Mytilus edulis: one gene and its partner. The protein of the gene in region 1 interacts with the protein of each later gene in a pairwise test. Links are inferred from orthologs where the notes say so. Each region holds a gene or a part of one and is shown on either strand. Other genes may lie near its edges.

Region 1 (8,141 bases):
GACAAAACCTTTAGAAAGACCTAGAAAAAAGGGATAATATATCTGTAACAATTTGAAGAAAACCAATTCATTAACATTTGTTGCATAGGAATTCATTCATTTTCCTGGTTTACTTCAGACTTTCACTCAATTTAGTGGGCATGACACGAATTTATTTCATACACACTAATATACAAAAATGAAAATCATTCAAAACAAGAAGAAAACAAATCTTTTGTCTATCTCATTTCTTGTCAACATTTCTTGCAAATAAATTGTACTGAACAAAATAAAACACCCTTTTTGCCAATCAAGATGAATCTTCTGTAAACAGCAATTTTTATGTAAACAGGGACATTTTTTACTAAAATAAAATTTATATAAAATAAACTGTGTATTTAAGACACCTTTATTATGTGTAATTACGGGAAATCTTTTCCCTCCATGAGTCCATAAGCCTATTCAACATGACACAAATAATATCTCCTCTTTCATTTAAAGTTAAGATTTCATCCCTTGGAAAGAAAATTGGTATTCATTATCAAAAGTTGGTCACACTATCAATGACCTAGGTAGAATACAAAGTATTTGATTCATTCAGCCATAAAAAACCTCCATCATGTGAAATACTAGCACACAAATTAAAATTGTCAAATTATCAGTGGAATCCAGGTCAAACAACATTCACTATTTATATCACTTCAGATGATCTTAAAACCTTCTTTCACTTTTTTATCTGATCTTGACAGGGGAGATAGAAAAAACAAATCTGGAAATGCAAAACCACAACAGAAACTCTTTTATTCATACATTTAAAATTTTTGGCTCAAAGATGTCCCCAATTTCTGGTTGATCTCCATTTTAATTGATTGATCGTTGGTGGATTAATGTCTAGAAGCAAATATTTCATGTCTTTTCAATATGAGATTTACAATTTACATATACATATAACAAAAAGCTACAATGAAGTACAAAAACACTTCAATATAAACCTAATAAGGATTCATGCTAAATTAATCCGCCCAAATTATTAGCAAAATAAAAAAAGTTAATTAAATAAATGAAACCTGGAGTAAATTAAAATAATTAATATACCTTTGATAAAATGTAACATTCAAACCATACAATTCTTACCTACTCCTCTATGAGCCAACGTAATAAAATATATGCTTTAATTCAGAAATTTTATTGCAGATGATACATTATGTAAGAAATTCTGAAGTTATTTCTGATTTCTGGTGTAAAATTCATTTGTAGATGATAACACAAAAATATTTGTATTCCAACTGAAGCAGAATTTATATCTCACACATGCCCAAGCCATCAAAACTTTAATCAAAAAGATTGCAAGAACAGACTTTGTGTATAACACTAAATAATGCACTGGATATGTTGTTTACAAAGTATACTACTATATAATTATTATATGCTTTTGGCTTTATGATTTTATTATTAACTAGAAAGATGTGTTCAACATAAAACAGTTGTAAAATATTACTATCAGCAAAAAATCTTTCTTTGCATGCTGTTAAATGTTTTACAACAAAACCAGTTTTAGACTGAAAAGGTAATGACAGTCCTTCTTCCCTATTGAATAAAACACACAAAAATAAAACTACCTTTTAGATTCTCTTAAAATGTTCTTAACCATGTGTGATAGACCACCAGGAATTTAATATACTGAATGACATTAAAGTTTCTTTCCAACTGCATTTGTTTAAAACTTTTCTAAAACAGCCAGTTGTTTTCTCAGCATACCACTATCTCGGACTTTATTAAGTAAAGTACGTATGACCCTAAAGGTGACGTAAATATATCATTCAGATTTTTCTTTATATTTCCAGATATTACTTTAAAATTGCTCAATCAAGAAAAAAAAATTGTAAGAATATAAAGTTTAAAGCATACAAAAATTAGATGTACAGTTTTCCCATGAAAAATTGCTTTGGTTAGAGGTTTGCCTTAAGAACCCGTATGCAGAAGACCTCCCAAGAAAACGGTAATCTCGTTACCAAAATATCTGATTAAGATGAACTGATAATGCACTATTGTTATTTTTGTAATTAATATTTGACTTTTTTGTTACCAAATCTTGTTGAAAAAGGAGTGCCAATCTGATATTACACAAATGCTCCAAAGTCAGTTTAGAGAATATTGATAATTTGCAAGGTAGATGTAATCACGTCCTTTGTTTATCGATTTTATCACAACCAATCTAATGACTTTAATGAGCGGGAATAATCAAACTTATGACCAGTGAGTGTGCGATTGTTCGACTATAACCGTCAACAATCTCTGATGATTTCAGCGTTCCTAATATAACAGACGAGACCACACACAGTCAAGATCAAATTTCTAGGTCACAAAACAAGATGGCGGCTTACTTGCTTTTATCAATTCAAGCGCTGTTTGTGAATGAATATACTGCCTCACATTATACCTAACGAATGTATAAAGATGAAAATACACATTTAACACGATTACTTACCTTCTACCCAAAGAGCTTCAACATCAGTTTCAAATTTGACCAGTTTGAATCCGATGCAACACAACGACAACAATAGTAATCCCATAAACAAAACTTTCCCACAATGTAATTGTATGAAACAACCAATACTGAACATATAATTTTGCAGATGCCATCGTACCCACAACGCACATTTATTCCCATCTGCTTTACCCTGCAAATACAAAAAGAAAATGTAGACGTACACTTTATTGATGGTCAAATTATAACTATTGGGAAAACAAAAACATATTGAAAGTGGATGAAGATAAGCATTTTTCTGTCATACAAATATGGACCATACATGCATATGAGATAACAGTTAAAATTCTGGAACTTAGACTTATTTGCCATCAAAAAAATATGCTAAAAAGTATGGATAAATCTAACTTCATTATTATGTGATGTTGTAATAGATGACATTACCCTAAGGCTAAAACACACATCAATTCACAATGTTTTAATATACATGGAATTTCTTCTAACAAATGTAATTTTTCTCCACTAATGAACTACACAACATGTTATGTTATTACAGAAAAAGAACTCACAGAGAGTTGTGATAGAAATGAGGTCATGGAGATGCCTCGCTTCACATACCTTTTTGACTTGTTTATACGCTATCCTGGCATCCACAAAACTAGTCCTCGTTAACAAATCCTCATCAATTTGTGAATTAGTGCCCCTCCTTCGAATACTCATGATTTCCCGTTTTTGAAGGGGGAATTCACAAAATAAACTATGTCATTTGAATGCTATTCGAACCCACGTGGAATGTTGTTCGGTTTATACACTATTAATTAACATCGATGTTATTATCACACAGTTTGAAATGCATGTAAGTACATCTTTATATCAGAAAATTTCTTCATAATTCTGAAGTCCTCATAGAAGATAAAATCCAAACAAAACACTGTAAGCTCCATACATCCGATATCATTCTTTGCGAACTTCAAGACTCCCGATTTTGCGTTAAGCTCCGCCTCCTCGTAATGACTGACAAGATGATATCGTGTTTGTCTGTTATCGGATTGGCCAGATTTAAATAGGATTGCTCAAGTAACAGCAGCTTACATTAGTTGCTAAGCAACAGTTCACCACAGTGCGCGGACCACACAAGATGCGAGAACTACCACAGCGTTAAATAAACGGCATATTTTCTGAAGGAATCCCGTACTTAATTGCTGTGTAAGACCGACTACAAATGTCACAAGCCAGTGAGTTTGTCACACAAAGAGAAACTTGTAGTTTAATGAACTAAATCTTTGCTTACTGAATTATCGTGATTATCAAGCCCACCGGATATATAAAGCAAATAGATTTCTTATGAAAAGGCAGAATTTTTATTTTTAATTTTACAAATCATATCAACTATTGTGTAATTGTCTAATGTGTTACAGTTGATCTTCTAGTTCAATATTACGAATTAATTCAGAGACCTTCTATATTACATTAAAACTAATGTAATTAAAATGACAGATGCTAATAAATTACACGTCGTATTGCCGTACAACCTGGGCGGGCTGTCACGCTGACGTATCTTTAAATACCTCGTGAAAACAACAAACCCTTAGTTTTTGTAGAGATTGATTATAAAAGACCGTATAAAACTGAAGTGGTCTTGTACGAAAATCTCCAAATGTAAATACGTGAATTATTTTATTTGCTATTAAAATATTTGCTCTTTATGGACATGGGAATTGTAAGAAAATTAAGGTAAAGCACAAGTGAAAACAAAAAAGATAACCAAAATCAACTGAAGCAAGGTAGAAATGTTCAACACTTTCTAACTGATTTTTGCTTCTGTAAAAGAGAGTGGATAACTAAATAATAATTCAACACTACTGAAATCAAGGTACAAGTTTTAAGCATGTAAAATGTTATATGATTTAGGGAGATGCAACATGAACGTAAGAGAGACAACAACCCAAAATCTCAGTCTAATGAGAAAAAAAGATAAGTAAATTGTATCGAGGCTTCCGAAAATTCAATTTCTCTTAAGTTTTAAAATGAATCAAAGATTAAAAAATTTTTGCCGGTTTGCCATTTTGCCAGGAATGATTCTTAAGTTGTTCTTTTAAATATATGAAAACAATATTACATAAAATGTAAAAAGAACAAAAGTAAAATGACAAGGTTGCTATATTTTTGTGACTTATTTTTTCCTGAAAAAATTACTGGAATAATGAGAAAAATCACTCGGACGATTCCGTAAAATCAGGTGCACACCTTCAACATATGTGCCATCTTCCTGTAAAGATGCAAGGATTTGGATTGAAAACTATAGTTGATAACACACAAAACTTATTCCTTTTTCATAATTTTTTCTAAAAAAGTCTGGATGATGAGTAAAATAATACTCAAACAATTCCATTATTGCAGGTGTACAACTTCCAACACATATGAACGTCCGGAGATGTTTCAGTGAACTGGGCTGAAAACTGTAGCAGCGGGTGATTACACAAAAAATATACCCTCTTTTATTAATATTGCTGAAAAAAGCTGGTCAAATGAGATAATTTACTCAAACAATTCTATAATATCAGATGAACCCTGCAAAATATAAATAATCTCCCTGTGAAGTTTTAGAAATTTGAATTGGACACTAGCGGTATACTACTGTTGCCTTTATATAGGAGTTTATTACACTAAACTTGAACCGTCTTCTGTAATTTTTACAGAAAAAGTCAAAGTTCCCAATGTGTAAAAACGAGATACAACATTACTCAAACAATATATTAGAGTAATATAATAGCAGGTGCACATTTAAGAATATATAGGTTGATTGCTGTAGGATTTGATTTCACAAATTGGATACATACTTTCCACAGACCACGAAAAATCACCATACCTAAAGCCGGTTTTGAACCGTCCAAACCGACAAAGATTTTTCTGTAGTGAAAGATGACCACTTTCCATGAAGTTGATTTAATCAAACATTGTTACCATTGTCCTTAGTGTTTTTCTAAAACTTTGAAAGATAATGGATTCAAGTCGTATCCAATTTCCGAAGGTTGGATAAAAAGCTCAAATGAATGCACATTGCAGGTGCACATATTCAGTATGTTAGGAATCTCTTGTTGCAGTTTCAGAGAGCTGGGATGAAAACAGTTAAAGAATTGATTACACACAACGGGTACCATATTTTGTTAACTTTACAGAAACAAAATAAGTTTCAAAGTCTAGAAAAAGTGTATAGCAACAAATAGATCAGTCTCTGAAATGATTATGTTGTAGGGTTTCATTAGCAAAAAATTGTACACCATAGCAGTTTGCGGTAAAGAAAAGTGTCATGCATTCAACAAACCAGAAGGCAACTTAAAAGGAATCGTCGATGGTAATGGTCTATGTAGGTTATCCAAGTAGATCGTGCTGTAATTGCATAGAGTAAAGACAAATAAATAGAAATGAGACAAGACAGCAATCCATTACCACAAGTTGAAAAACGTACGATTTTCGACGATAAACATGTACCAAAGCCGTATTGAACCCGGTTAACTTCCATTGATATAACAACTTATTGGTGATATCGAATTATCTGCAATAAAGTAGTATGCACTTTTTATTTATTAACTAGTTGTGAAATTAAGCATTGAAAGAGTGTTTTTGTCGTAGGAAGGTGGACCATTTAGTGTCACAACGATTCAACGTTCAACATATTGATAGAATATATACATTTCTTAACATTTAACCATGATAATTTTCACTAAATCTGCAACTACTGATACCAATATTGTAACGCAACACATTTTCTCCGAAATAAATAAATTTCAATTTTGTTATTGAACTCGTGTCTCCATCTCTAAAATACTCGACCAAGGCTACGACATAATTTTGTTAAGCAAGGTGCAGATCCATTCACATTCGCTTGAAAAGTTTTGGCCAAGTCAAAAAGAAATAATAAAATTGAGAATGGAAATGGGGAATGTGTCAAAGAGACATCAACCCGATCAAATAAAAAACAACAGCAGAGGGTCACCAACAGGTCTTCAATGTAGCGAGAAATTCCCGCACCGGAGGCGTCCTTCAGCTGTTAATCAACAAATATATACTAGTCCAGTGATAATGAACGCCATACTAAGTCTCTTATCGATACAACTTTAAATTGAGGAAGGTGTTGTCAAACAAAGGAAACTGTAAGTATGCCAAGAGAGAGACAAAATTTTTTTCAATAACAACCAATCGACTGGTCATGGCTTCCTAGAAATTGTCAATGAGATACTTCAACTTCAACTTCACCACTTGACTTGGGACCATCGGTTAACAGCAATCCTCCATCAAACAAATCATATTAAGAAATGAAAGCTCTGGAATATCGTTTCAACAGGGAGATAATTATCCTATTGCAGGCATGCAATATAGAAACGGAAAGTTCAAAATTAAAAAGCTGATAATAAAAAAAAAATGGAAAAAGATGACATGTGAAAATGTCCAATGAACTGATTATTACTAAACACTGAACATATATGGGACCAAGGTCTTACTACATATAGAGAAAGTTCCGTTGGTCAATGAACCAAGGGAAAAAAGCCAAAACATTAATGAATCCTAGCTTTCGATAATTTTACAGCCAATCTTTTTCAGAAATGAAAAGTTCTCCTTATACTGAGTCAAGGACAAGGAACAGAGTTATGGAGACGAAACAAAAAACACTTGTTTGATTACAATATATGTATTGTCACAACAGTGTTCACTGTCAGACTCAACCTATATTTGGTAACGCAACTGTATAGTACTAGAACTGGATCCTCCTTCACTATACTGGACGCCAAAATTAAATGCATGTCCTTCATACAACGTCACATTTGTTGATCTGCCAATTGTTTCACAAAACCTCTTTCAAAACTATCAACATCAATTTACTTATCAATTAAAGACAGATTTTAAAATTACTATGAAACTACCATCTCCCTGGGAAGGTGTCAATCAGAAGCTGATACTAATTCCAAGATCTATAGGATATAAAAAAGATGTGGTATGATTGCCAATGAGACAACTCTCTACAAGAAACCAAAATGACACAGAAATTAACAACTATAGGTCACCGTATGGCCTTCAACAATGAGCAAAGTCCATACCGCATAGTCAGCTATAGGAGGCCCCGAAATGACAATGTAAAACAACTCAAACGAGAAAACTAACGGCCTTATTTATGTACCGGACTCCAAGGAGTACATTTGACTTCTGTACCCTGTACACTTTTGCCATACCAAACTTCAATATTGATAATAGAAGTTTAAGACAGTATGATAACCAACTGTGTTCGTTTTTTGCCCACTTGTGTAATTGATATGAAGCAGACTTTATACACGAGCTTCATAGAAAGAATAGAAAAAAGGAGCTAAGATTATTCCTTTACTTCACTTTTTGCATGATGTCTTCTAATTAAAAACTCAAAGTTTGATACCTATGTTGGATGCATCGATACATAAAAGGAAACATAATACAGTAATAAACCGCTGTTCAATACATAAATCGATCGATAGAAAGCAAATCCGGGTTTTAAACGAGGGAAATGCATCAACTATGAGAGGAAACAACGGAACAACAGAAGCACTTGAATGCGGTACCATCGAAATTGAAATAAAGAATACCATATAAACTCAGTCTGCCTCATATCTTTAATTACATTTAGAAATCTACAACGAGGTCAGTT
Region 2 (8,494 bases), on another chromosome or scaffold:
AGCCCCTCAGACTTCCTGTTTACTTTGAAAGTTGTTGACCTACAAATTAAAGTTTTGCATGTTGATGTTTGAATCATCTACAGCAAACATCATTATGTTTAAATTTAACAAATACTATTTTTTAATAAGTGCACAATCTTTGAGAATGATTTAAATAACCAGTGAAGGATATCCCTGCTTATGCGTAGTGTGGCATTCCAACAATGACGTCACTATAAAATATAATGTAGGTTGGATATATTTAGAATATCTCGTCATACTGATTTTTCCGGATTGTAAAAGAAACCTAAATAGTGTAAAGGAGAGCTCAATATACGATAATTTCGAGAAAAACAGAAGGGAAATGTGTAAAAAAGTGTTTAAAGTCAATTTATTCATTTGTGTCTCACCATCTCATCATTCTCAGTAAGATTTGTTGGGGGGGTTTTCCACGCTATAAAAACAAAATGAATGATGTGAGGGAATGTCACTCTGGTCAACCCCATTGGGGATTCACGGCTTGAAGCCGTCTTCCCCAAAAATTTAGCACTTTTTCCATTTGTAAAGGGACATAACTCTGGAACGGTTAATATGACCTCATCAAAATTGAAACTTAATCTGTGTTTTGATACAAATTGTGGTAATAAGCATTGTGTTATTAACTTACAGTTTCATAACATTCAGTTGAGAAAAAACTTAACAGAACAGAACCAATTTTGGACTATTAGACTAACAAGGGTAAAACGTAAAGCCCCCCTCTTCTACGGTGGGTACAAAATAAACAATAATGTACTAAATTTTAACCTTCAATAGCAACAAACCCAATAACATCAGGTAGCACCTGCTTCATATACATTTTAGCCCTATTTGTTTGTCATTACTGAACATGATTTACATCACAAAGTTTTCAGTAAATTTTTCCTTAAGAATTGAATGCTTCTTTTTGTAACTTCATTGGGGTTTAAAAGCGTTGACCGAAGTACATTTTGTATGAAGCGCTACTAAAAATGTGCACACGGTCAGCGCTTTTACAATCCTATGAAGTTACAAAAAGAAGCATTCAATGCTTATGATTACATTTTTTTAGCAATGATCCTGAAAACACAAATTTCATTATTGTTTTATTTAATTTACCTGTGCACTTTATTGTGGGACCACGTGTTATCATGAATGAAAAGTTTTATTGAGCAATGCAATTGCTTACGAAATAACATGTGATGTGCAGTTAGCCAATCAGAATAAGTATCATAATGAATTATACTATAATAGAAAATATCTAATGCCACAATGGAAAGTTGATTGTTGTTTAACATCATTAGTTCAAGAGCCTGAAGAGGTGCAGATTCTCTGGTCAAGTGGGGTGATAACATATGATAACATGGGAGTACCTTCAGGACCAACAATGGTAAAAATTCTTGCCAAATGACGTTAACAGCAATTTTAGGTGCATGACAATAAAAAATGTGCATTATCTTTAAGAAAATAAAAATAACTAATGACTAAGACCAATCATGTTAATTTTTTTCTCCAAAAATAACATTAACCATGTTAACGTTAATTTTATGACAGTGTTTCCCTTAGAAAATGTGGTAGATACTTTGTCAGCCATAAGTGGTTGAGCTAAGGAAGTACTTCTTTAGCTCAAAAGGTACTTCTTTAGCTCAGTAGGTAAACGCCCTGCCTTGTGACAGAAGTCCAAGGGTTGAGGCCCTAGGGTGCAATCAACAGTTTTTTTCTATGACGTCACATTTTGAGGGACCATGCATAAGTGACCCTTAGTGGTGGACTGATTAATAAAGATACTTGTACAAAACTAGATATCACTGGAATCAGAATGTTCTCTAGTTTATGATGAAATAAAAATAATGTGTACTTTAAATATATTAAAAATATTCCATCCAATGAACATGGGGAAAAAAAGGTCTAATTTGAACATAAAAAACTTGAAACCAGTCATGTGCACACCCATGAAGCCAGATCCATGCACATTTTACCTAATCAAAACTGTATGAAATTTGTAGGTTTTTACCTGGCCTTTCAAAAAAATCTTGTTTCAGGGTACGGTTTCCCGCTCCGAAAAGAGCTACAGTGGCTGCAAATAAGTTTTCAATTTTCACTGCCAAAAAAATAGGATGTTTACAGTGTTGTCTCCCCTCAAAACATGTAAAGTTAATATAATTTTTTAAATTATTTCAATCATTCAACCTGTTTTAATTGAAAGCTAATTAACTAATTTTTACAATCAAATACAAAAAACATGATACTTTTTCACCAATTGAGTAAATAAACAGGGGTTTCCCTCCATGGTTATTTTTAGTTGCGGAATAACCCCTAGTTTTTTATACGAAACTGTTTATAGCACCCCTAGTGGAGACAAGCAATTTTGTAACGAAATTCATGCTCTTCAGTTACATTGGCCCCATAATAAAAAAAACATGGGCATGGTTGTTAGAGAGGAATTCTAGCTACAGTGTAGGGTATGCTTGTGTGAGAGTCAAAATGGTATGATGACTCTTGAGGTGGGGGAAGTGAAAGGATTGCTTCCCTTAGAAAATGTGGTCGATACTTTAATAGTCAGCTGTAAACATTGAACTGCCTTGTGACAGAAGTCCAAGGGTTGAGGCCCTAGTGGAGACAAGCAATTTTGTAACGAAATTCATGCTCTTCAGTTACATTGGCGCCTAAATAAAAAAAACATGGGCATGGATTGTTAGAGAGGAATTCTAGCTACAGTGTAGGGTATGCTTGTGTGAGAGTCAAAATGGTATGATGACTCTTGAGGTGGGGGAAGTGAAAGGATTGCTTCCCTAAGAAAATGTGGTCGATACTTTAATAGTCAGCTGTAAACATTGAACTTTATGGACATACAAAGTTTTTTCAGCAAACGGCAAGCTGGAGGGGACAATGATCTTGCGGACAACAGTTCCCCAAAAACTTGGCTGATGGAGCAAATAGCTAGCTAGTCCCCGTGGACTGCTGATCCTTCCACATTTACTTGAAGGCTTCTTTAGAAATTTAGCCTGCTTCTTCATAACTTACAGCAGACACCACGAACTAAAAGAAATTTTGACGAATCCCCGTTAAATTTTATTCAATTTGACGCTAACGGTAGCAATAAATGACCGTTTGACGCCTGGCTAAGCACCCTCCCATTTTACAGTTTTCGATCATCGTATCACTGTTTATATATTTTTTAGAGAAAATCATGTGGTGACATCGATTCAAGCATTTTCAACTTCTCGGCTTCAACTGATAAAAACTTACTGATCGCTCCTGCAACCCATAAGTTCTGGTAAATTGTGCCATTCACTATCAAATCAACAAACTTGGATAAAATTACAGCACAAGTTGTGTTGATGTTTTTACTGTATTAGATGCGCAATCGCAATCGACCACATCCCGGATATTTCAAAATGACCAAATACCTGCAATAAAGTACTTCGCAATACTACGCTGACGTAATACCATAATCACATGTGACGCACACTTGCTATGACCGACGACACGTTTAATAGGTATCAAATAATGCATTGATATATTTTCCCTAGATATATACGTTGTAAATAGTTTTAATAAATAATCTACGATTGAATTTGTTGGTTAAAGGGGCACTCTGAGCAATACACCTTATCGCTATTTGTCCGCCATTGCTGGAAATCACACAGGTTCCCGTAAAATTTTGACGTCATAAAACAAAATGTCTGACGCCACAATGGAAAAGTGATTGTTGTTGACGTCAAAAGTTCAAGCGGACGGGTCAGCCGGGAATAGCGATAAGGTGTATATAGACTGGTACAACATAATGAAAGAGAAGTCAACAAATGAACAATGGATATTTTTTAAAGACAAACTCTTGGAACTCCAAAGTAAATACATACCACATAAAAAGATCTTCTTCTTCTTTAGTTTCAGAAAACCATCAACATACTGATGTTTACTTTCCGGCGCATGCCTGGTATAATTTTTCAAATTTATGTATTTATAAATATAGTTTAACATATATGTATTCCATATTTTTGTATATATTTGTTATATTTTTATTATCAATTTTTACAATTTTTTCTTTGTTTTTAGATTTTTCGTTTTTATTTAGATTTTTTGGATATTACATTTTTTATTTTTTATTTTTTAATTTAAGATAAAAACATGATTGCCTGATTACTTCAGGTGTGGATATGTATCAAGGAGCACATCGTGCGTGAGTGCATCCTTGAAGGTTTCTGTGGTGGTGTTTTTTGTTATGACTGAGGACAATTTGTTCCAGTCTTTAATTGTTTGACAAAAGAAAGAAAATTTGTAGCTGTCCTTGTTACATTGGATTTGTCTGTAAGCATCTTTGTTGGTGGATCTTGTGACGGACTGACTCTTCTGTAATAAATTTTGTGAAGGAATGGCAATATTTTCGTTTGTAATTTTGTGAAACATTATTAGCCTTGTTCTTAGCCGGCGTTCTTGTAATGTTTGCCATTTCATAGTGTCTAGCATATCAGACACACTGCTGGTGTTGTGATGTCTGTTACATGCATACCTTGCCGCTCTTCTCTGTACTTTTTCTAGTGATCGTATGTTTTCACTTGTATAGGGGTCCTATACAGTACAGCAGTATTCTAATTTAGGTCTTATGATGGTTTGGTATGCTCTTTCTTTAATTTTTTGTGACTGGACTTTGAGATTTCTTCTTATAAAACATAAAGATTTGTTTGCTTTGGCAGCTGTTTGTTGAATGTGGGTGTTCCATTTTAAATCTGAAGAAATTGTGATACCTAAGTACTTAGCATGTTTTACTGATTCTAATATGTGCCCATACATGTTGTAATAGAAGTGGATGGGAGTTCTCTTTGTTGTTATGTTCATTATGTTGCATTTGTCTGGGTGGAAAGACATGAGCCAGTCTTGCTCCCATTGTATGGCGGCTTCTAGATCTTCCTGAAGCATGAGGCAGTCGTTTTGAGATTTAATTTGTCTGTAAATTATGCTGTCGTCTGCGAAGAGTCTGATTTTGCTGTGTTTGAAGTATTCCGGAAGGTCATTTATGTAAATAAGGAAGAGTATGGGTCCTAGCACTGTACCCTGTGGCACGCCTGAAGTGACTGGTATTTTTGAAGATGGGACAATCGAGCAAAAAAAAATAAAGCTGTAGGTCTCAACCAAGAAACATTGAAAGCAATAAGGAAAAAACACAGATGCTGGACAAGGTATATGGAAACAAAAAGTAGCGAAAAATATAGAGAATTCTGTAAAACCAGAAACAAGGTAAAGAAACTTACCAGAAAAGCAGTCAAGATGAAAGAGAAAGAAATTGCCAAGCAAGTAAAAAATAACCCGAAAAAATTCTGGCATTACGTAAAATCAAAAACTAAAACTAGAACTGGAATATCCGATCTCGTCATGAATACACAAGATGGTAATGATGTACTAACAACCAACGACAAAGAAAAGGCAGAAACACTTTCGAGTTTCTTTGCCAGCGTCTTTACAAAGGAGGACGATGGAGACATACCAAAACTTCAAGGACAAACCGTAAAGGAAGCCATGAATTATCTCGTAGTTAAACAGGAGAATGTTCAAAAACGCCTGAAAAACCTGAACATAAATAAATCACAAGGACCCGATAATATTCATCCTAGATTATTACATGACGTGTGTGATGCACTATCAACTCCAATAACCATAATTTTCAATACGTCGCTGAAAGAAAAAACTATACCTCAAGACTGGAAAGAAGGATGTATTTCAGCCATATTCAAGAAGGGCAACCGAAAACAGGCATCAAACTACAGGCCAGTAAGCTTAACGTGCATACTTTGCAAACTCCTAGAAACATTTGTTAGAGACCATATGGTGTCACACATGAGGCTAAATAAACTATTTAGTGATTACCAGTTCGGATTTTTATCAGGAAGGTCGACTACATTACAGCTACTCCATGTTCTTGAAAAATGGACTAAAATTCTGGATAATGGAGGTTCCATAGATACTATATACCTTGATTTCATGAAGGCATTTGATACTGTCCTCCACAAACGACTGATTGGAAAATTAAAGAGTTACGGAATATCAGAAGAGATAATATCATGGGTAACATCATTCCTTAGTGGTAGAAAACAACAAGTACGTGTCAACGGTAGCTACTCAGAATTCAAACAAGTAACAAGCGGCATCCCTCAAGGCAGTATACTGGGTCCAATATTGTTTGTCATCTACATTAATGATCTACCAGAAATGCTTGACTCAGATTGCTACATGTTTGCTGACGATACCAAAGTCTTTCGACAAATACAAACAACAGATGATAGTGATGCACTTCAAACAGACTTATCTCATCTAGAATCTTGGTCAAATACTTGGTTGCTAAGATTTCACCCAGATAAATGTAAAGTCCTAACAACAGGGAAACAACATGATAACAACCATAAATACAACCTGTGTAACACCACACTAGAACATGTTGACAAAGAAAAAGACATAGGAGTAACCATTGATAACAAACTAAATTTCGAACAACATATGAATGAAAAAATAAATAAGGCCAATAGTATTATGGGACTAATTAGAAGGACATTTACCTGCCTCAATGAGGAAATGTTCTTATTACTTTATAAAGCACTAGCAAGACCAAACCTCGAATATGCCAATGCTATATGGAGCCCATTCAAAGTTAAAGATATAACAGCACTTGAAAATGTTCAAAGGCGAGCAACAAAATTGATACCAACATTGAAAGATCTAGAGTACGAACAACGGTTGAAGAAGCTTAAGTTACCAACACTTAAATACAGACGAATGAGAGGTGATATGATAGAAGCTTACAAATTAACATCGGGAATATATGACGAAGCGTTACCTAACCTACTCACATATAACACCACTTCTGCTACTAGAGGACACAACAAAAAACTGACCATCCAAAGATGCAACAAAAACATAAGATCCAACTTCTTCACACAACAAATTGCACCAATATGGAACAGCTTACCCAGCAGCGTTGTAAATGCACCAACTATTCAGACATTTGAAAGCCGCCTAGATAAATATTGGACAAATAGTGAAATGAAATATAACTATAGAGCAAAAGCTGACACAGGAACCGGAACCGAAACAAGTCAGCAAATAACTGAAGATCTGAGCATAGTGGAGTGATCCAGCGCTCAGTTACAGACTATGTAAGAAGACTATGTAAGATAATATACACCTTATCGCTATTCCCGGCCGCAGTGACCCGAGATCCCGTGCCGCTTGAAATATTGACGTCATGCAACAATCACTTTTCTACTATGGTGTCAGATAATTTGTATTATAATGACGTCAACATTTTAATGTACCCTTGTGATGACCAATAATGACAGTCAAACAGCGATAAGATGCATAGGCCTATAGCTACGAGATAAATAAAAATCTAAAATGATGTGATATTGTTCAATCATCAATGAAAGTAAAATAGTGAAATAATAATTCGCTTTTCGCAGCAAATACGGTTCAATTTTGTCAAAAGAAGCTAAGAAACATTGATGATGAATTATTCACTTGCAAGTGAATAATTCGACCTCATTGAATCCGTTTTCATATGAACTTCTATCAAATTAACGGCTTTAACTATAACGCATGAATCGTGTGGCGTGGACAGTTATTTTTAAAAAGGAAAAGAATGTCAACTCTAAAAGTGAAACAAATAGAAATCATTTGATTGACTGATTCGATCATAAAAAAAAAACATTTTTAGACAGGTAAAAACGATGATTAACATGTTTTGAATCCATAATACTGAGGAAATTAAATAGACCTAGAAAAATCCAATAACACGATTTCGCTTACTATGATCTATCTATATTTATGTTCATATCTCTTGTTTGTCGTCTAGATTAAAAAAAAACACACGAAACGAAGCAACATATTATCGAGCCCATGTGTTGTTAGTTGTTTATTTCAGACTTTTGATTTTTTTAATAGATGTTTTACAGTGTTTTAAATCAAATATGACAATTCAAATCAAATTGGTGAACACGAATTTGACAGCTTCCCCTTTAAGTATTCGCTCAGATATCTTGGGATTTTTCAGTTAAACTACTATGTATTGCTGCTTATTCATTTTAATTAATAAATTACTTTAAATCTGATTACTGATTGGGACAGTTTAACTTGATTAAGAATTATTAATTTAGATAAGAAAATATCTGGAAAATGAAAAGCAAAGAAAAACACTTTTCTATAGCCTAATCATCTAGAAATGTGATTTCAATTTTTTTTAACTTAGATATTGCCAAACAGTTGACCCACCAAAGAACATCTGCATTGTTCCTAGACTCACCTACAAAAAAATCTTTTCCCTCGGCGCATACGTCATTCAGTGCTGACAATATAAAAAGAAACCGATGAACGTGAGAGTGAAGTTGATTTCATATTAAATAAAAACAAATCTACACTGTCCCAGGTTAGGGTGGGTTGGTCCTGCTTACATGTTTAAACGCGTTGCCGTTTGTTGCTGTGTTACATATATCTGTTTTTCGTTATTTCTTTT

The links. The genes of interacting proteins can lie anywhere in the genome.
Region 2: the proteins of protein patched homolog 1-like (region 1) and E3 ubiquitin-protein ligase NEDD4-like interact in a two-hybrid assay, tested with the Drosophila melanogaster proteins (2 studies listed by BioGRID). The link is inferred for Mytilus edulis from reciprocal best matches to the Drosophila melanogaster genes ptc and Nedd4.

What each region holds. Positions count from the first base shown.
Region 1 is NC_092344.1:121,131,663-121,139,803, forward strand, and holds the start of protein patched homolog 1-like, read right to left. Parts: upstream 3,480-8,141; 5' UTR 3,188-3,479; coding exon 3,086-3,187; intron 2,661-3,085; coding exon 2,468-2,660; intron 1-2,467. UniProt on the Drosophila melanogaster protein: Segmentation polarity protein. Acts as a receptor for the hedgehog protein (hh). Associates with the smoothened protein (SMO) to transduce the hedgehog signal leading to the activation of wingless, decapentaplegic and patched itself.
Region 2 is NC_092347.1:25,258,830-25,267,323, reverse strand, and holds the start of E3 ubiquitin-protein ligase NEDD4-like, read right to left. Parts: upstream 3,384-8,494; 5' UTR 3,286-3,383; coding exon 3,244-3,285; intron 1-3,243. UniProt on the Drosophila melanogaster protein: Essential E3 ubiquitin-protein ligase which accepts ubiquitin from an E2 ubiquitin-conjugating enzyme in the form of a thioester and then directly transfers the ubiquitin to targeted substrates.